4 linked regions of the Danio rerio genome follow. The main gene of each other region encodes a partner of the protein of the gene in region 2 in a complex. Links are inferred from orthologs where the notes say so. Each region holds a gene or a part of one and is shown on either strand. Other genes may lie near its edges.

Evidence for each region. Proteins that work in one complex are often made in the same cells at the same time.
Region 1: sf3b2 (region 2) and crnkl1 share a complex: the UniProt entries of both Homo sapiens proteins name them as parts of the minor spliceosome. The link is inferred for Danio rerio from reciprocal best matches to the Homo sapiens genes SF3B2 and CRNKL1.
Region 3: sf3b2 (region 2) and eftud2 share a complex: the UniProt entries of both Homo sapiens proteins name them as parts of the minor spliceosome. The link is inferred for Danio rerio from reciprocal best matches to the Homo sapiens genes SF3B2 and EFTUD2.
Region 4: sf3b2 (region 2) and rbmx2 share a complex: the UniProt entries of both Homo sapiens proteins name them as parts of the minor spliceosome. The link is inferred for Danio rerio from reciprocal best matches to the Homo sapiens genes SF3B2 and RBMX2.

The regions. Positions count from the first base shown.
Region 1 is NC_133195.1:52,274,700-52,280,224, reverse strand, and holds the start of crnkl1 (crooked neck-like protein 1), read right to left. Parts: upstream 3,851-5,525; 5' UTR 3,800-3,850; coding exon 3,752-3,799; exon of another isoform or gene 3,296-3,751; coding exon 3,143-3,295; exon of another isoform or gene 2,439-3,142; intron 2,209-2,438; exon of another isoform or gene 2,177-2,208; intron 512-2,176; coding exon 420-511; intron 260-419; coding exon 101-259; intron 1-100. UniProt on the Homo sapiens protein: Involved in pre-mRNA splicing process. As a component of the minor spliceosome, involved in the splicing of U12-type introns in pre-mRNAs.
Region 2 is NC_133182.1:6,516,023-6,520,951, reverse strand, and holds part of sf3b2 (splicing factor 3B subunit 2), read right to left. Parts: intron 4,757-4,929; coding exon 4,659-4,756; intron 4,581-4,658; coding exon 4,472-4,580; intron 1,620-4,471; coding exon 1,531-1,619; intron 1,454-1,530; coding exon 1,262-1,453; intron 1-1,261. UniProt on the Homo sapiens protein: Component of the 17S U2 SnRNP complex of the spliceosome, a large ribonucleoprotein complex that removes introns from transcribed pre-mRNAs.
Region 3 is NC_133178.1:15,082,971-15,088,344, forward strand, and holds the start of eftud2 (116 kDa U5 small nuclear ribonucleoprotein component), read right to left. Parts: upstream 3,851-5,374; 5' UTR 3,571-3,850; intron 3,543-3,570; exon of another isoform or gene 3,491-3,542; intron 1,500-3,490; 5' UTR 1,489-1,499; coding exon 1,387-1,488; intron 1-1,386. UniProt on the Homo sapiens protein: Required for pre-mRNA splicing as component of the spliceosome, including pre-catalytic, catalytic and post-catalytic spliceosomal complexes. Component of the U5 snRNP and the U4/U6-U5 tri-snRNP complex, a building block of the spliceosome.
Region 4 is NC_133196.1:41,942,580-41,948,070, reverse strand, and holds the start of rbmx2 (RNA-binding motif protein, X-linked 2), read right to left. Parts: upstream 3,851-5,491; 5' UTR 3,804-3,850; coding exon 3,799-3,803; intron 2,398-3,798; coding exon 2,282-2,397; intron 1,021-2,281; coding exon 969-1,020; intron 869-968; coding exon 739-868; intron 1-738. UniProt on the Homo sapiens protein: Involved in pre-mRNA splicing as component of the activated spliceosome. As a component of the minor spliceosome, involved in the splicing of U12-type introns in pre-mRNAs.

The DNA.
Region 1 (5,525 bases), on a different chromosome or scaffold from region 2:
TGGGAATCTGTCTCCCTTATTTATTTGATCCAACTGGCCAAAAAGAATTATAATACCAGGCAATTGTCTAAAAGTATTAGTATTTTGAGATAAAGCATACCAGAACTGATTGACGCGGGGCAGGATGGTAATGGCTCGGTCCCATATGTTGCGAGCGTGATTGACCTGCCGGTTCTTCATCTCCATCTCGGCATACTTCAGCCACAGTGTGATATTGCGGTGATCCACGTCGAGTGCACGCTCGTAGATGGAGCGAGATCTAAAGACAACATCATCATCAAATAGTTTTAAATAATGCCATGTCAGCAACAAATTAATCAATTAATTTCACACAATTGATTATTCATCCTGAAGACCAAAAAACAAACTTCACAGTTCCTGAAATTAAATAAGAATTTTATTTAAGAGAGGAACCTCACCTCTGGACCTCCTGCAGGCTCTCCTCCCATTGTGCGTACTTGATCCAGTTGCTGATCACAGTTCTGTTTTTCCTGATGTTGTCCTCAAAGCCCTGTATTACAAGAAAAGAAAATGTAGAGAAGCAAAATATTCATTTAACTGAGAACTTTTTGAATAATATGTAAAGGGACACATAATATATCGGCAGCCATATGGTTATCGGCCGATAAATGCTATTTTTAAGATTATCGTTATCGATCCGATGTCTAAATTAGGCCGATAAATTACGTTTAGTTCAACTCACAGCGGTTTATCATAAACTTTTCATGATCATTTTTCCCGCAATTGACAGCAAGAACGAACACAGAAGCATTGTCTGATTGACAAGCACTACAGCTATACGTGTTCAAAAGAATCTAAAACGCTAAATAGGATGAATCTATGCCGCATTTTCTAAAGTAATACAACCTGTACTCAACTTTTTGCTTGTACGGTAACTCTGAACTGTCAAAACACCCTTAGAAAAGTTTTTTTTTTTTTCGAACATTACATATTTGTACATATGTACATCAATGTAACACGTTTTATTCAAGAACAATTGAGCTGGTTTCAGTTGTTAGCTCTTTCATTTTCATCTTATTTAAATATATTTAACTTGCTTGTTGATTAAATCCTGTTTTGTTATTTAACCTATTATTTTTATGCAACAGTGAAGTTGCATGTTAATTTGCTATGAAGAAAAGGAAATAATTAATTTTCTTGCATGCTGATTTATGTGAAATCGTGAATATAGGTCTATATAACCACCTTGCAATTTTGAAATTATAGCTTTTTTGGTTTGAGTAGACTTTTCAGTTCATAAGAGCAGTTCAATCTTTTATTAAGTTTAAAAATATAACATTTTTAAACATTTATAATTATCGACCTATATATATCGACTATCAGCCTCCAAGTCTGAAGAGTTATTAGTTATCGATATACACTAAAAAACCCATATCGGTGCACCCCTAATTATATACCACTGACAGTGGCATTTTAACTTTAAGATATTAATATAATTTTATTCTTTTTGACACATAATATACTGATGACATATTTTCTGCAGATGCACTATGTATATGAAGCTTTTAAAGTATGTATCACAATAATACCATGTGTTATTGAGTTTAGTACATGTATACTAGGAGTTTTATAGAAACGAACATCAAATGCGAAACATCAAATTGACAAAACCTTTACACTGGTAACATCATGTTGTGACCAGATGTACCTTGTTGACATAGCATATTCAAAGCATGAACATTAGGGGTGCAAGATATTGAAAAATAAATCAAACATTGACATATTTTGTTTTTCTGTGATAAATAATGCAAAATGAATATAGGTCCATCAGATGCCTTAACTCTATTTGGGAAGTGTTTATTAATTCAGACTGATTGCAATAAAGGATTGAATCATGCATAAAAAAATAACAAAAAATTACAAGTATTGTTACTTTATGAATTTGTCAAACAGCAAACAGGTACAGGAATTGCAAAAAAATCAAATGTAAATAAAACACTGCATCTTCTTTATTGTAAAAATTATTTTAAAAATGTATCTTTATTAAAGGTACAAATGGTCTAATTTCTTGTGCCTGTGTAACAGGGTTAAAATAATGTTTAATTGTCTTTCACCAAAATGGGTTATTTTGTTTATTTTGTGGCTGTTGAGAGACCTCTTGTGGCAACAGTGTGTAATTGTTTCTTTCACCTTTCACCTGCAAAACCCCGCCTACAGCAGAAAATGGTTGCAGAATGCAGAAAGGCGGTAGGTAAAATGTGCTCCAGCTAAATGTGACAAATTTTGTATTTTAACACATATTAATAACACATACAAGCCCAATATGAACATTAAGTGATGTTTTAGATCAAATCTGTCGAGTGATTGCCGTGTGTGACAAACTTTGTGTGGTTTAATTTGCTCATGCTAGGTGTAGCTGGAATGATGACATTAATATGTGCAAGGGTGATTTCTTACTATTTGTTTGGTTTTTTTAGATGCATGTTTAAATGCATACTGTTGCCAGATGATGTATATTTCTGTTACAGGTATGTTAACCTTTTGTAAATAAATAATGTTTTGTTAAAATGACTTTGTGGCAACACAGCAGAAAATGGTTGCTGAATGCAGAAAGGCGATGCATGTTTAAATGCATACTGTTGCCAGAGGATGTATATTTCTGTTACAGAATAAACAACGCAGAACGCAGTTCTCTGTGTCCGCCTGAGTGATTTGCGTCTTCAGGAAGAGAAGCGTTACACCTGGATGCTTTATACGTTCTTGAAATGTTCATACAGCGGCAGTCCATAAAACACAGGCAGACTTCCACTTTATATACATATATAAACTGTCTTCTGGTCAACTATAAACCCAACAAGACATTGCATATCCTCTGAGTTTTCTGAATATGCACTGTGATAATGCCCATGTTTTCTAGAGGTTTACCATAATAAAATAATACATTTAAACCATAGCGATATCATCTTTTATAATCTACACACCATATCAATACCATATTTTCTGAACATCATGATAGCACTGCGCACATTCTATAAGCAATTGTGACACTACTGTATATTTTTGAGGCATATGCCATGACAGAACCAAGCTTTCAGTACATGCACAGTAATTTAGTACTACTTTATGACATATGCATATAGTGACACCATGGTATACTACATGGTGATACAACATTTCATACCTTTCTCTTTTTCAGTTTGTAGTCATTGAGCTCTTCTTTATCGGTGATCTTCTGTTTGGGTGGCGGTGGCAGCAGCTCGAGCTCTCTCTCTTTGGCCTCTCTGAGCAGCTGCTCGGCGGTGATCTGCACCTCTGCAGGGGCTTTATTCTTCACCTGAACACAAACACAAAACCATTACAAAACAAGACAATCTTTAACCCATCTGGTTATAGTTCTATACATTATACAGTTGTTATTTTCAGAGTGGCACAAGTTCACGTTGTTTACAAGCTAATGCTAACTCACAGCTTTATTCTTCACATGAGCATTAATACAAAACCATTACAAAGCAAGACAACCTTTAACTCAACTGATTACATGTATACACATTATACATCAGTTAACTAATTATAAAGTAACGTTAGCAGAACTACATGTTGTTTACATGCTAATGCTAACTTACAGGGGTTTATTCTTCACCTGAACACAAACACAAATACATTATAAAAAAATAAGCTTAACTCCACTAACCACATTTATATACAGTAGTTAATTATTAAGTAACGTCAGCACGACTTCACGTTGTTTACATGCTAATGCTAACTCACAAAAACATCATATAGGTTTTACCTTCGCCACTTTCGGGATTCTCTGTTTGCCCGCCGCGGTGGACGCCATGATTATTACGCTCCTGACACTTTATTAAAAATAAATTAGACGTATGTTCTTGTGTTTTAGATTTCGAAAGCCCGCTAAAACCTGTAAGGTTAGCGACGTTTCAGTGCCGTGTGTGTCGCGCCTGCCGTGACGCGCTGTGACCTTTGCCTGCATCTACGTCACGGAGCATCTCACCATGGTGACAGGACGCTTGCTAGCGGTTAACGTTATCAATAAATAAAAGGTCAGCAGTTTGAGGCTGTTAAAACTCAGTTTTTTATTGTTATACACCAAAAATACCTGTTTAATTGTTTTATGTTGCTTGTGTATCGACTTTTTGTCAATGTAAGTGAATGCTTGTTGTTTTAAAATATTTTTGCCTATTATTGGCTAGTGACTGAGTTCAAAACTCAACATTTTACATTAATAACGTTAACTTACCTCAATTAAATACCTTAAACGTTTGTTATTTATTTGTTTACTGTTAGATCTGTTTATTGTTAAACCGAATTTTCTTCAATGTGTGTGAATGTTTATTTGTTTTTATAAAGGTTAGTGACGAGGCTCAAAGTAAAGTTACATGTAACGTTATGTTATTTAACTTTATTCGCTCACTGTTAGATTTTTTTATAGTCCGACCTATCTTTAATGTAAGTGAATGTCCATTTTTATTAATTTGTTAATTATGTATTGCTTGTTATTGTGTATGAAATAACCGTAAAGAGTTGTTATTTATTTGTTTACCAAAATAAGTCTGTGCGTGCACACAGACGAAAAACATATAACGTACAATTGAAGTCAGAATTATTAGCCCCCTTTGATTTTTTTTCTTTTTTAAATATTTCCCAAATGATGTTTAACAGAGCAAGGAAATTTTCACATTATGTCTGATAATATTTTGTCTTCTGGAAAAAGTCTTATTTGTTTTATTTTGGCTAGAATAAAAGCAGTTTTTATAAAATAAATAAAAAAATAAAATAAAATTTAAGGTCAATATTATTAGCCCCATGAAGCTATATTTTTGTCTACAGATCATTACACAATAACTTGCCTAATTACCCTGACCTGCCTAGTTAACCTAATTAACCTAATTAAGTCTTTAAATGTCACTTTAAGCTGTATAGTAGTATCTTGAAAATTATCTAATAAAATATTATTTACCTGTCATCATGATTAATTAAATAAATCAGTTATTAGAAATGAGTTAGCAAAAACTATTATGTTTAGAAATGTGTTGAAAAGAAATCTGCTCTCCGTTAAACAGAAATTAGGGAAAAAATAAACAAGGGGGCTAATAATTCAACTGACTTCAACTGTATATTACGTCTACAGTTGTGCTCGAATGTTTACATACCACTTATATAATCTGTTAAATGTGAATAATTTTAACAAAAGTAGCAACATAATACAAAATACATGGTAATTTGTAATAAGTATTGTACCATACACTCCTCAAAAATCTTTATTTTATATTCATGTTTTTAATAGGAAGCTGCAGTATTATATTTGTGCAAATACATTAGTCAGTACTGAAGCCAAATCTGGAGCTTATCAAACAAAACAACTTACAATAACGGCCCAAAAACTAGAAAAGCCAAAAAATTTTATAGGAAAATATTAAATACAATTTTTTTTTTCAAAAGAGGAAAAATCAAGAGAAGCAAAAACAAAAAAGGAAAATTTTGTTGAAATTTTATAGGTTGTAATTTACTTTAGCTAAATTTAGCTTGATTTTATTGTATTATCT
Region 2 (4,929 bases):
GGGCCACAGTTCCAAAAAGTAATTATAGTGGGCCACATGTCCAAAAAGTTATTATAGTGGGCCACATGTCCAAAAAGTAATTATAGTGGGCCACATGTCCAAAAAGTAATTATAGTGGACCACATGTGCAAAAAGTTATTATAGTGGGTCACATGTCCAAAAAGTTATTATAGTGGGCCACATGTCCAAAAAGTAATTATAGTGGGCCACATGTCCAAAAAGTAATTATAGTGGACCACATGTGCAAAAAGTTATTATAGTGGGTCACATGTCCAAAAAGTTATTATAGTGGACCACATGTGCAAAAAGTGATTATAGTGGGCCACATATCCAAAAAGTTATTATAGTGGGCCACATGTCCAAAAAGTTATTATAGTGGGCCACATGTCCAAAAAGTAATTATAGTGGATCACATGTGCAAAAAGTTATTATAGTGGGTCACATGTCCAAAAAGTTATTATAGTGGACCACATGTGCAAAAAGTTATTATAGTGGACCACATGTGCAAAAAGTTATTATAGTGGGCCACATGTCCAAAAAGTGATTATAGTGGGCCACATGTCCAAAAAGTGATTATAGTGGGCCACATATCAAAAAAGGCGTTACAGTGCACCATGTGTCCAAAAAGTTATTATAGTGGGCAAGATTTCCAAAAAGTTATTGGTGTTAACTTTTAAGTTCAAATTTAGGTAGATTGAACACAAAACAAATTGTCCCAGACATTTGTCATTTTAGCTAATTTTAAATAAGTAAACAAATCAATTTAATTACAGTGAAGATGCTTAAAGCAGTTTGTTTCATTTGTATATTTTTATTCTACTGTAATTTAATAATTGTAACTAGTTATACAATAATTCATTCCTTTTCTTTTCGGCTTAGTCCCTTTATTAATCCGGGGTCGCCACAGCGGAATGAACCGTCAACTTATCCAGCACGTTTTTTACGCAGCGGATGCCCTTCCAGCCGCAACCCATCTCTGGGAAAGTTATTCAATAATAATCATTTTAAATAATCAAGATTTTAATCACGACCAAAATATTCATGCTTATGATTTCCCACCATTCTGACCAGTGAATCCAGCTCGTGTAATAAAATCTAACTAATTTAACAAATAGCATTGACAATGGAGAAAACACAAAGTCGTCAAAATATGATTTCCCTCAAAATCGAAAAACCTTAATCTGTAAAAAAAAAATAAAGAAATAAAGTAATTATTTAACGAGTGTGGATCGTGACCTTTTAAATGAAAGCAGTTTCTGACCTTAAACGCCTCGAAGATCCTCTTGAAGAAGATGAAGTTGGGGTCATAGATGGCCGGCTCCTCTGTCACGTACTCGATCTCCACCTCCGGCTCCTTCTCATCTTTCTTCTTCTCCTCGTCCTGCTGCTCCTTCTCCTGCTCACGCTGCTTCTTCTTCTTCTTCTTCTTCCTGTTCCTGCGCTTACGGTTTTTCTGCAAGTACACAAGAACAAATTCAGCACAAGTGATCAGGAGAGCAACCTGGATGGATGACGGAGAGTAAAGCTCACGTCTTTTTTAGACAGACTGTTTTCGTCATCTTCATCTGAATATCCGTGAATATTAGTCAGCTCCGCGAGATCATCATCATCATCATCCTCTGAAATAACAGGAGACAAAAGACAGAAACTTAATCATGAGACAGTTTGATTATTTACAGAGTTTATACAGCCTACATATGAGCACTTCTCTAAGTCCAGACCCAGAGAGAATTCAACCCATCTCCATTTCATATTTCAAATATAAATATTGACTTTTGGATAAAATAATTGTCAAAACTAGGGCTGTCAAAATTAGTGCGTTAACGCACGTGATTGGTTTAACGCGTTAAAAAAATTAACGCAGTTGCAGTTTTTTAATTTCTTTTTGTGGCCGACGTGCGTTTAACGTGCTAAGAAATTTGGATAAGACCAAGGAAGCACTTTTAGAAGGAAAGTTTCAGTATAAAACATTTAATTTGGCATCACCAGGCTATCATGCGCTTCCTCCAGAGTTTCATGTAATTTCAGGCGTTTCATTTTTAATCTTTAGACTTTAAGTGCAGTTCAGCAGTTCACTCTCATTCAGCATATTTTCACTCAGGATGTACTTTTCAAACAGATTGTACTTTAAGTGTGTGTGCTCTACTTGATTGTTGATCCGTTTCACAGGTCTGGAGTCAGCTCTAATCAGTCTAGTGCAGTGGTTCTCAAACTGTGGTACGTGTACCACTAGTGGTACGTGGGCTGCCTTCTAGTGGTACGCAGAGTAATCCAATAGTCATTTGTACATGCAACATATATTTCAAAATGATCAAAAATGGTTCATATATAAACATGATGACATATAGCCTATATTTATGAGGTCCAAGCAGCATTTCCAGGCTTTGATGAATAGGATATTATAGGTTTACACTTTCCATTTAAGTACAGGAGTTTTTTTTTTCACTTTTTACGAACTTTTAAAAGCTAATTTTAATTTAAACGTTGCCATGTTATTTTGTTTGTTTGTTTTTTTACATATCAGCACAGCAGTGTTAACGTTCAAACTATTTACAAGGTTTAAATAATAAATATTATTAATTATAGTAATTCATCTGCCACGTTTTTAAACTGTGCAGAGTTGTAGCTGCTTAATTAGGCCTACTACACTACTGTATTTCAATACTGGTCATATGGTGGTACTTGGAGGGACAATTTTTTTCTGAGGTGGTACTTGATGAAAAAAGATTGAGAACCACTGGTCTAGTGGATGTCTGACGTTTACGCTTAATGCCACATGAAAATTTTCCAAGTCTATCTGTGTTTTAACCAATCAGGTTAGAGCACCTATATGTGTGACGCAGTTAATTGCCTTATTTGAGAATATAATTGTTATTGATTGGTGATTTTAAGCAGAGCGGCCTAGGAACTCATTGGAGTGTTGAAGCTGGCTTCTGCTGATGAAACTGCAAACTATCTTCAGTAAACTTGATTTATTTATTTAAATCTCTGACTCCGGCTCTTCTTCATCTGACAGACTGCTCATTCTTTGGGTTTAAGCTGTCTACCATCCCTACAGCACACAAATGAATATGTTGGGGAAAATAAACAAGTGGTGCTCGCTGCAGAGCCATTTGATGAGAGCTGAGCTCCAGCGAGGGGGAGCTTAAGCTTGAGCTCCACCTTTTTTGCACTTCTTCTACGAGTGATGTCACTGGGGGTAGGGTTAGGGGTAGGGTTGGTGTACGCATTAAAACAGCTTACAGGAGGAGGAGCGACAGCTCATGCTCCCCCTCGCTGGAGCTCAGCTCTCCTCAAATGGCTCTGCAGCGAGCACCCTCTCAAAATAAATGAAACATTTAACATTTCGTAACAGTTTGTAATTGTTCTTGTAATAATAACTTTCATTTGAATTTACATGTAGTATCTTCATTATATTATTTTAATGGACTGAACTGTTAAATGAAACATTCGGTCACACTTTACATTAAGGTTTCATCAGTGAATGTATTTACTAACATGAACAAAATATGAATGATACGTGTACAGCATTTATTAACCACAGTTCAACATCTACTAATGCATTATTAACATCCACATTCGTGCTCGTTCACATTAATATTACATAGTGGGTTAACATGAATGAACAATGAACACTAACACATGTATTGTTCGTTGTTTGTTCATGTTAGTAAAAGCATTACCTGACACAACCTTATTGTAAAGTGTTACCAATGCATCCAAAAGTGCATATATATTTACTGAGAAATGGGGGGGGGGGGGTTACTCATTTATGCTGAGCACTGTATAAGTTCACATTCAACTATCTGGGATTATTCTTACACTCGTTTTTTTTATTTAATGATGCTACAAACTGAAGAGCCTTTACATTCACTTTGACTTCATGAATGCACACACAGATTGCAAATGCGAGTCTCAACGGCACATTCATTGTCTCTCCTGTGGGTAATTAAGCTTGAAGTGCACTCAAGTGCTCTCATCTTGTAAACATGGTTATTATCAATACTAAAGGAGACCTATTTATGCCACTTCTTTACAAAATAAGTCTCTAATGTCCCTAGTGTTTATGTGAAGATTCCGAGCATTATATTGTGCCGTTTTGGTGACTGTCGCTTTAAATTCAAATGAGATTGTGCTCTTTTTCTGAAGAGGGCGGAGCTACAAATGCCCATGTGTCAGCATAGTGGTAGATTCAAAAACAGGACTAAAGTCCTATGCTGATGAGAAAGAGATGGTGACTAATGGGCGGGGCTTTCCTCCACTGATAACACGTACAAAGGGAGAAAGGTCTTTATCAAGTGTGATTATAAACAAACGGAATTAATTATTTTTGACCATTATAAGCTGGTTATATTCAAACATTTCTGCCACACAACTGTGTTTAACCCCTTATAAAAGTGATTTTTGTATAATAGGTGCCATTTAAGGCTAATAAATGTTACATAAGCCCTGTGCAGTTACTCATAGTTACCTGTAGGGGCGACGCTGAGCTGCTCCTGCCTCATTTCCTTCAGCTGCAGGATTTTCTCCAGAGCCTGAGGAATCTTGGGTCCAATGCCGACATCTTCCCCCTGCCACGACTGAACACATGAAACATCAACACACAAACATTTTGAAGATGCGCAGTGATTGGCTTTCAGGTTTTCAGTTTCTCGTACCTCTCTGCCGTCCTCCCCAGGAGGGGGCGGGACTTTCTGCCGTTGATTTTGGGCAACCAATGAAAGGCCTGGAGGAGGCAGACCGCTCTGAATCCCGACTAAAAGAGGAAAACAATCAGGTTTAATGTAGCGATGGGAAATTCAGATCATTTTAGCGATGAAATTAACGTGAAAATATAAACAAGTTTTGTTCAATTCGCTATAATATCATTAAAACTCAAGTTGCTTTAAAACACATCCACAATTAGCCCAAACAATGATCACACTACAA
Region 3 (5,374 bases), on a different chromosome or scaffold from region 2:
CATTTTTACTAGATGTAAAATAAGTCTCTGACATATAGCACCATAGTGCTCAGGGCGACCCGAGTTCGATTCCCGGCTTGAGGTCCTATGCCCATACTTCCCCTCTCTCTGCTCCCAGTGCTCCCCTCCCCCCAAAACATAGAAAAAAAACGTAATAATTATAAAAAAAAATATTCCACAAATAACGCTTCATAACTTTTTGAAATGACCCCTTTTAGGCTTTGATCCTAATTGTGTAATTAGGCTTTATGTGTAACTGCTCTTCTGGGGTCTCATTGATGAACATGGCATATGCACAAAATGGGCAGAAATATGCGTTAGCCACTCAAAGGTTGTGATCTATAAGCTTGAGAGGAGAGTGTCCACAGCTGTAATTAATCTCTAAGCAAACATATTTAATTTAAATATTGATTTAAACCACTTTAAATGAGCTAATCATCAATAAATAAATTACTTTATTCTGATGTATGTTCCTTACTAAGAACTTGTCTATGCAAATTTGATAAATCAGAGCCCTGGCGATTTGACCTGCTACTTTTGTCCTCATTTAAATGAGTTCTGTATATTAATATACGTATAATTTAGGAATATGGTATATTAACCCTTTAACTGCTCCACCAAGAAAAAAATACTATGGATAGCATTTCTTAACTCATAATGTCACTAGTCAACACATCCAATGAATTTTTTTTCAACATGCGACAAAATATCAACCATTTGGTAGAGGTTGATGTGTCCGTTTATGGAAAAATTACCGGAATTAATACATATCCAATGAAAAATCTGAAAATATGAAGTGTAAGACATATTTATTTAAAAAAAATATTCAAAATAAATTGTTTTTGAATACTATATCATCTTTATTTTTTGAAGTATGCCAAAAAATATTTCAGATTCTCATTTAACATGTTTTCTTATATATATATATATATATATATATATATATATATATATATATATATATGTATGTATGCATGTATGTATGTATGTATGTATGTATGTATGTATGTATATATATATGTATATATATATATATATATATATATATATATATATATATATATAGATATGTATGTATATATGTGTGTGTGTGTGTGTGTATATATATATCAATAAAACCAAAATTGAGTGTAGTAACAAAACAGGATTACATTTGTTTGATTATTTTATAAACCAACAATGCTGTGTCGTGTAAACCATTATTAAAACAGTCATTCTTAAAATGACTTTAAAAGTCATTATTTAAAAGTCAAAAGCTGGTCAACGATTTGAGCAGGCAATTAAGGGTTAATGTAATAGGGTTAATGAAACTGCACTTAAATGGCACAAATGCTCCAACTAGCAACGGTTTGGCAGTTTGAATATGATTACAGGTTATACAATCACCTCATCAGCATCCCGGTCCTCTGCATCTAGCTCTTCATCCTCATCAGAGTCCAGCTCTGGTCCGATATAATTTCCAAACTCGTCATAAAGATCAGTCTCCATGGCGACGAGCTCTGATAGGACAAAACAGATACAAATGACATAACTTACTTTGGTGCAGAGGAACTATTCGGAATGCAGATCAACTCATTTAAAATGCAGCAGTGGTTCATTATTCTGTCTGTTTTATTTTCTAGTGTTGGGAAAAACGTTACTGTAACACTTTTAGTATTACTGCACAAAATGCTGATTGAGGTAAAATTGGTTTAAATTCTTAGCGTTTCTGTAAAATTTGCTTAAATGCCTAACAAAATGCATACCCAAAGTAAATTGCATGCTATTTTTAACCATTTTTAGTATTGGTCTTTGTCAGGTGACAAATTCGATTGTAAAATTATTGATTGTTAAAATATTTAAAAATCACAAATGTTACAACTAACTTTAGCTGACTAACTCACCCCTTGTAAAAAAAGTTTATTTGTGGGTGTCTTTCTAAAAACAAATAAAGGTTTTTGTTTAAAACATTGCAGGATTTTTCTATATTTAGAGTATTTATTTGATGTTAAATGTTTTAAAACCCCGGATTTGGCATGGGCTGGTATAAGATTCTGATACTATGATAATCTTGGATATAAATATCACGGTTTTAGGTATTGCGATTACTGCTCTGAAATATATTCCTTTTAAATGTCTGGGTAAAAAAATAAAAACGTTTTCCCCTTTGTACACAATATATTTTATTTGGGAAACATTCATAATATTTTGGAGCAGTAAACATGTCAGGCTAAATAATTCAAATGAATTATTGACTTCTGCTTCCTTCATTTGTTTCAAAAATACAGATTTGTAAAAAATTTAAAACGCAATCTTTGAATATCTTTTCTGCTGTCCTAAAAAAAAACTAAGAAAAAAGTAAATTAAAAAATCTTACTCATACCCTAGGAACAATATAGCAGAAAATTGACGGTTTTAAAACCTTGACTTTTCTAAACCGCGGTATAGCTTAAAAAATGGTTATCGTCTCATGCCTACTCCAGACTGCAGCTTAATGAAACCGTATTTTTAAAAATCTGTTTTTTTTATTTTATACGAAAAAGGGATAAATACATTAGAAGTCAATTTTATTCTATGAGGTAACTATGCATTGTTTTGGTCTCTTTTGAAAGGTGACACACTAAGGTTTATTCCCTAATAGTCCGAATCACTGTAAATGTTTTTGAATAATTAAACTTAATTAAACTCTGCTTAAAACTTTTATCTTAATATTCGAACATTCAGACTTTTTTCTTAATAATATAATTTCAGTAAAGTATTCTTTACAAATTCTAAATAAGAAATTCATATTAGCTACCGATGACTATCAAAGTACAACATTGCTCACAGTCAAAGTCTTCACAGTTTTGAATTCATACTTGGAAGCAATTTCAGACTGAATATTAAAAGTAACATTGAGGTAAAGTTGGTTTTCTATTCACACATTCTCATTGATAATATCATCTCAGAAAAGTATTCTTTGCAAATTATAAACGGGGTAATCATATTAGCAGCCAGTGACTATGAAAGTACAACATTGTTCAGTCAATCAAACAGTGCTAATGTTGTTTTGAAGTCATACTTGTATGTGATTTCAAACCAAATATTGAAAGTAGCCTTGTAAACAATATAAGAAACATGTCACAAGTTGTCACTGAATGAATGTGCTAATATAACCAAGTTTACCTTAATTTGCATCCAACCAATGTGCTAGTTAGTTTTGCGTTTTGGATAGAAACTGGTAACGTTAAATTAATACCTTCTCTATATTGTACTTTGAATATTCAGCCTGAAATAGAAAGTAAGTTTAACTTCAAAACAGCGTTAGCACAATTTAATTCTATTAACTCTGTGAACAATGTTGTACTTTGAAAGTCTATGGCTGCTAATATGAGTTCACTACTTGCAGAGAATCATATCTTTTTAAATTATAGCTATTATTAAAGGGAAAGTCCGAATATAAAACCAACTTTACCTCAATGTAAACACCAAAGGGAACGTGACACAAGTTGTCAATGAGCAAAAACTTTACCTCAATAAAATGCTGTAGTGTCGAACATGTATCTTTAAGAGCCCAATAAACACAGCAAACATTAAAGTGAATAAAATTACCTCATAACATACTGAAAATCGCAATAAATATAAAAGATTCCCTTGTGAAACTGCCTCAAGTAAAGCCGATATTGCAACTGATCGCGCAGCAAACGTACGACAGCGAATGAATGAATAATTGCTTCGTGTAAATAATTATTTCCGTCGTAAATATAGTGCGTATTATAACAGTGTTATACCTGTGTGCGAGTCTTGTTTTTAATCCCGGTGTGATTTTATTGTTACAAAATGATCCCTCGTACTGTTTCAAACCATGCACCGCGAGGTCCTCGCACAGCTCAACGTAGGTCGTACGTTGGTGACGTCATCAGCGTTCGCCAAGCATATTGCCTGTTTGAAAAAAAAAAAACAGGCTACTAATACATGTCGCAGTCAGCCAAGATTTACTAAAAAAAATGTTTTTTTAAGTTTTCATATATTTAAAAATCAATTTTAAAATTTTGACCACTATTTTTTAATGTTGGAGTAAAAACAAAAACGTAAATAAACATTGAGTGACTCCATAGATATCTTATTATATATATATACACACACATATGGAGTGTATTATATATGTATGGAATATATATCTATGAAGTGGCTCAAATAGATATTGGCTTCAAACACTTAAGGGTAATCTTAAGTATGATTTACAGCTTTAATTATTATACAAAAAACTTTTTTTGTTTTTCAGTACAAAAAGTATCTAGATCTGAATTTATCTTGACAAACTATAGCTACATACATAGGCTACTACCATGTATCATTTTCAAGTATGTACTCAAAAAGTAGGGTGACTGACAGACTTATAAGACTTAAAATTTGCAAATGTAGCCTACTAATAGACAACCAAACTCTGTTATAGCTAATATAAGCTCTCTGAATAAAAAAATCTAAATCAAAACAAAACCAGTTAAACATTTTTAATTCTAGTTTTTTTTATAGCTAGACAATTTCTTCCAACAATAAGGTGCATATCTGTAGGCTGAAAATGGTCATAAAATGAAGTGAACACTATTAAAAACAAAACATTGTTTGACAAGGAATGGATGGGAAAAGAGATTTGTCAGTATCCCAATTAATTGACAGCAATAAAGGTATTACTTCATATGAAAATGTTTGTACTAAATATAATTTCTAATTCAGTAAAGTTTAAATCTTTAAAGCCATTTCTATCTCATTTGTCTGTCTAATTAAGGAAATACTTTCTTACTCTACCCTTATAACCCCAACTGTGCCTCCTGTGTTAATTGAAGTCTGTGATTTCAAAGAAAGAAATCTATGTAACAACATTTTATATCCATTTTATAGGATATAAAATGTTGTTACCAATCATTGGTTTTTACATAGATTTCTTTCTTTGAAATCACAGACTTCAGTTAACACACGAGGCACAGTTGGGGTTACAAGAGTAGAGTAAGAAAGTATTTCCTTATTTAGACATAATTAAGGAAAAAATAATAATTATAAAAAAAACTCAACTTCACATAAATTATCTAAAAAGATACCATTCACGTACTTAAAATTAAATATTTAAATATTTAAAGTTTCCTCTGTCTCCAATAACTAAAAAAGTTCATTTTAAAGTTTTAAGTGGGATGAATCTGTCAAGTAAATATTTAGGAATTAGATTTGGATTTGAGTCTAATAAATGTGTGTTTTGTGATGATATTGAAACAACAGATCATTTGTTTTTTCACTGTATGTTTGTGGATGCATTATGGATGCTTCAGATTCCACACCTCAGGATCTTTAAGGGATTTTATATATGAAAGAATCTCATTATAAAAAGCACAAAACATTAGTTTCACCTTCAAATATTTTG
Region 4 (5,491 bases), on a different chromosome or scaffold from region 2:
TCTCTCATTCTGGCGCTGTAGATGCTCTGTTTAACTGTTTTCTTTCTAGTGAAGCCTTCAGTTTTTCCACTTACAAAGTCCGCCATTAGGGGTGATTTTAGGATTTTCATTTTAGGGGGGCTTACCTCCTTATATGGTGAAAAAAAAATCTATTATAAATATAAATATTATAAATATAATATAAAGCCTAATATTACATTCATAAGTAGTAATTTAATAGTGTCTAATATGGGTTGTATACTAGTATTCCATAGACAGGCATAGCCATTTGAGTTCTGAATAAGGCAAATAGGCTCAACCCACCTGTTCACTGTAGTAAAAAGCACTTTCTATAGTCAAGTGCATTTTTTGTTTCCAGGTATTAAATAAATAAACTGCCACTTTTTTATTGAACTGACACACACACACACACACACATGTGTATATATATGTGTGTGTGTGTGTGTGTGTGTGTGTGTGTGTGTATATATGTATATGTGAAAAGTTTAGATGCAAAAAGCCATTTGATATTTTCTTCTAAAATGAGTGATAAAATAGTGACGAATAAGTTATTTTCATTGACTTTGAAGTTAAATATATGAACATAAACATAGGAAGCTGAGATAAATGCTCATTTTAGGAGAACGTTTCAGATGGCACTTAGAGGTTTTTGCATCTGAACTCTTCTGCATCTGAATAAAATACAATTCAGGTTGAAAAAGACCACATCACTAAAAAGACACTAGAAAAGCGTTTCACCTTGATTCCGTTAAAGTTATCGACAGCCAGAATAGTGCTCCTCTGATCTTCATAGCACAGGAAACAGAATCCTTTGGATTTGCCAGTCTTTTTATCTCGAACCAAGTTGATGTTGGCAATCTCTCCATACCTGACATTCACAGAGGAGGATTAAGCTTTACTAGCAAAGAAAATAAATACTGACGTCTTTAGCACAAAAAGACATGTTTAAAATGAACACTCTGGCTTACTGAGAGAAAACACAGATGATGTCTCCTTCTGTCAGCTCATATGGAAATCCACCTGCAGATTGATATTAATATACATATTTACATTACTTAAAATAAATACACACACACACACGCACGCACACGCACGCACACATATATATATATATACATATTTATATAAATATATATATACACAAACACACACACACACACACACACACACACACACACACACACACACATACATACATACATACATACATACATACATACATACAAGTCAAAATTTTTAGACATCCTGAATTAATAGCTGTACATTTTCCCCCCCAATTTCTGTTTAATGGAAAGATTTTTCAACACATTTCGAAACATAGTTTTAATAACTCATTTCTAATAACTGATTTCTTTTATCTTTGTCATGACGGCAGTACATAATATTTTACTAGATATTTTTCAGGATACTAGCATTCACCTTAAAGAGCAAATTAAAGACTTAACTAGGGTAATTAGATCAACTAGGCCAGTTAGGGTTTTAAGGCAAATCATTGTATAAAAAAGATTTGTTCTGTAGACCATCGAAAAAAAATATTGCTTAAGGGGGCTAATAATATTGCCCCTTAAATGGTTTTAAAAAATAATTTAAAACTGCTTTTATTCTAGAAAAGATTAAAGACATCAAAGTTTCTCCAGAAGAAAATAGTCAGAAATACTGTGAAAAGTGTATTTCTCTGTTAAACATCATTTGGAAAATGTTTGAAAAAGAAAAAAACACACATTCACAGGAGGGCGAATAATTCTGACTTCATGGTTTGAATTGCAATGTTCTGTCTAGTAAATGAATGCAACATAAAAAATACAACAATAAATGTAAATCACTTTGAAATTGTACAAGGTCAGATCACTGTGTACCAGTGTGGGTTTCTGGAGGACTAAAATCATGCCATTGTCTACAAAAACACACATTTAGTTAAACAGATGAATGCTGCCACCATCTGGCAGAATGTAAATATAGTCCATCCAGACAGCATCTTAGCTTCCATAACAGGCATGCCCAAAACTCAGTCCTGGAGGGCCGGTGTCCTGCAGAGTTTAGCTCCAACTTGCTTCAACACACTTGCCTAAAAGTTTCTAGTATGCTATTTAAAGCTTGATTAGCTTGTTCAGTCAAGTTTAACTAGGGTTGGAGCTTAATTCTCCAGGACTCCGGCCCTCCAGGACCGAGTTTGGGCACCACTGGTCTATAATAATGATTGCCGAAGTGCTGTGACAGATTGATCTATCTTTTGGTCCACAGCCATAATGTAACTATGTAATAATGTTCATCATTTCCTCACCGATGAAGACCCAGGCGCTGTTTTTATAGACTGAATGCCAGGACACAGTCTCTTTGATGCCCAGCTGAGCTTCTCTTTCATTCAGTTCATTGATCAGCTTCACTTTGGTCAGTGGACTACATTTAATGAAGAAAAAAAAAAAACAGAAAAAAAGACAGATAATGAATATATGTTTGCTTGTTCATTCATTTTGTGGGCCACAATATGTCATTTTGTTTATTATTCTGTTATGGTGACTAAACCAAAATATGAGAAAATGCAGTATATTCAGGATTAGGGCTGCACAATATATTGCTTTAACATCGATATCGCAATGTACAAATATGCAATAGTCACACTGCAGCATCCGCAGTGTTGAGTTGTGATTACAATGACCAGGAATTACATTTCAGAACATAATTTTTGGAGTCATCGCAAATTTGAATCCTAACAGAGTGAAAGATTTTCATTTGGATGCGTTTTAAGGAACTGTGACAAGTGAAAGTAAACCAAGAAATTTTAGTTTTATAGTTTAGAGATTTAACAAAGAATAAAATTGTTTCTAGTTACTACAATTAATACAATATAATGTTATTTGATTAATGTTAGTTTAATATTCTTAGACTCCACAGAAAACCATAAAACACAAAACAAACAAACACATTCTACTGCATTTATCTATGCTTACAAATTGTTTATAATGTTTCATGCAAATATTTGAATTGTTTACACAGAGTTATTTAGGTAATCTTTTGTGAAATCATATTTATATCGCAATGTATATTGCAGAAAACTAAAAACCGCAATGTCATTTTTTTTACCCAATGTCGTGAACCCCTATTCAAGATTCATTATGACTTTGACACTTTTTACAGCCTAAAATCTTTAAAAATTAAAGATGTCAACACAATAAACATTGATGTATATGGTTTTGTTATGCAAGTCAATAGTTTTGTCCCACTGATAACATTTCTTCTATATTCAACATACAATGTAAACTGATAATTGGTCACAAAAGATTATCGTTTTCGTAAAGGAATCATACATGTTTATATTCATTTTTAGACAACACAATACCAATGTTTTAAATAACGACGAGTTAAGAAATCTGAATTTAGTAGACAAAAATTGACTTTATATCACAACAAAGTAAAATGATTATTATTCTGACCAGTTGTAAGCTTATGAAAAAAGATATACTTTAATGAGTTGATAAAACTAAAAATGATTTCTCAATAACAAGTAAATAACAATTGAACAACGTTCCACGACAAAACATTTCTATTATAAAAAATATTTTAATTATATTATTATTCCAGTAAAACACATGTAACTGAATGTTAATGTTTAATGTAACAGTTTTCGTTTATATTTATGCTAGCTTTAGCTGTTGCTGCAAACCAGAGGCTTCTGGCTGTATCGACATTTCATTCCATGACTGAATAGTCTAATTAAATTCTCAAACGTACAAGAAACACGGTATAACAAATGTATTGAAAATATTTTAATCAAACGCAAACATTTAACTCATCACTTACTTCATTTTGGTGAATCGAAGTCACTCCGGAAATAGTTTCTTTTTCGCAGTCCACACGTGGTGCCATTGTCTTCCGGTTTAGACAAAAGGATTGTGGGATGTGTATTTGACTGACTGTCCATACGGCGTTTTTGTAGTAAAACCATGCTAATTGCAAAGTAGCTAAATTATTTCGCTAAATCATTAAAACAGTGGTAAATAATAAAAAAAATGAACAAAAAACAAATAAACAAACAAACAAACGAACGAATCATGCTTACAACACTGCTAAAAATTAATAGTTTCTGTCAGTTTGATTGAATTATAGCCTACATTTTCCTCAGTTTAGAGGCTTAAATGGTTGAATTAGCAAAAATTTCAGCAATATTTACTGCATTTTTGTTATTTTGTACCTTAAACAGGCTCTAAAGGAAACAAAGAGAAAACTAGATGTGATGATTAACTTAATGTCTTCATAAAAATAGGCTATAGCATCATATTTGACAGAAATGATTTATCAAAATAAACAATTCTTTGTTGAAAAGCTTTATTAGAAATATCATGGAAAATTCTAACATTTATCAAACCAATCAACCAAGATGTTTAATCAATAGGGTTTTTCAGCCAAAGATAAACATCCGGTGAAAGCTTAATGTGACTATTTTCAGTTTCATAAGGTTCCTTTCACAGCATCGATGTTGTAATGTAATAACACTTTCAGTTAAATAGACTTAAGCATTCATTCAGTTGTTCAAGAGTAACAAGATAAAAGACCGTGTACAGATAGCGCCGTCAAGATCAGCAGGCTGCAGAAACTTCATACCAGAAAATACTGGGGTAAACATGTTGGGGGAAATGTCATTTAAATCAGTGATTCTTGTCCGGTCTGAAACCCACATATCGAATATCTAACACGCAGTAAAGATCACTAATTTTCAAAGAAATCAGACCTTAAATGTGGCAATTTTATAACAGAAAGACACTGAAAGCCCTGGGGCTGCCTTACTAAAATTAAAAGTCAGTGTACATATACCCCATCAGCACAGCAGGCCTCTGATTTAATTTAATTGCACACAACAATTTAACTTACAGAGCTTTCATCATAAAATTAGCCCCAAAATGTTATCTTACTAATAAAGACAGATTATTTTGAGGTATAATGACATGTGACTCTTATGTAAGCAATATACTATTGTGAAATATTGATTTCCCTTTGTGGCCATATAAAATAACACAAATGTTCCAAACTAGGATTTACACTGCATAATTTATTTTCTAGGATTTTTTTTTTGGCATGTTTCTAGTCCAAATATCAAAAAATTACTCTTATATCAAGAAGCATTTTCTAGGTAAGCAAAACATATTGTCTTGTTTTGAGAAATAATATGCCAATATTAAGTGATTTTTTCCTTAAAACAAGCTAAATAATCTGCCGATGGGGTGAGCAAAATAATCTTGTTTCTCCTTTTGACATAAGATTTTTTTTTACCCCATTGGCAGACTATTTTGCTTGGGACTTGTTCTTTTTATAGAAGTTAGGGTTAATTACAAGTAAAGTTTGACAAAAAATTGGGTTTCTCTTGTTGATGTACATTAAGCTTTTTTCATGCTAAGCATTTTAGAATGTCCCCTCATCGATAATTGTAAAATCTTAAAGGCAACAGTGATATGCAAAATGTCTGTCTTCTTTCCTGTCTTTTAATAACTGCTAGTTC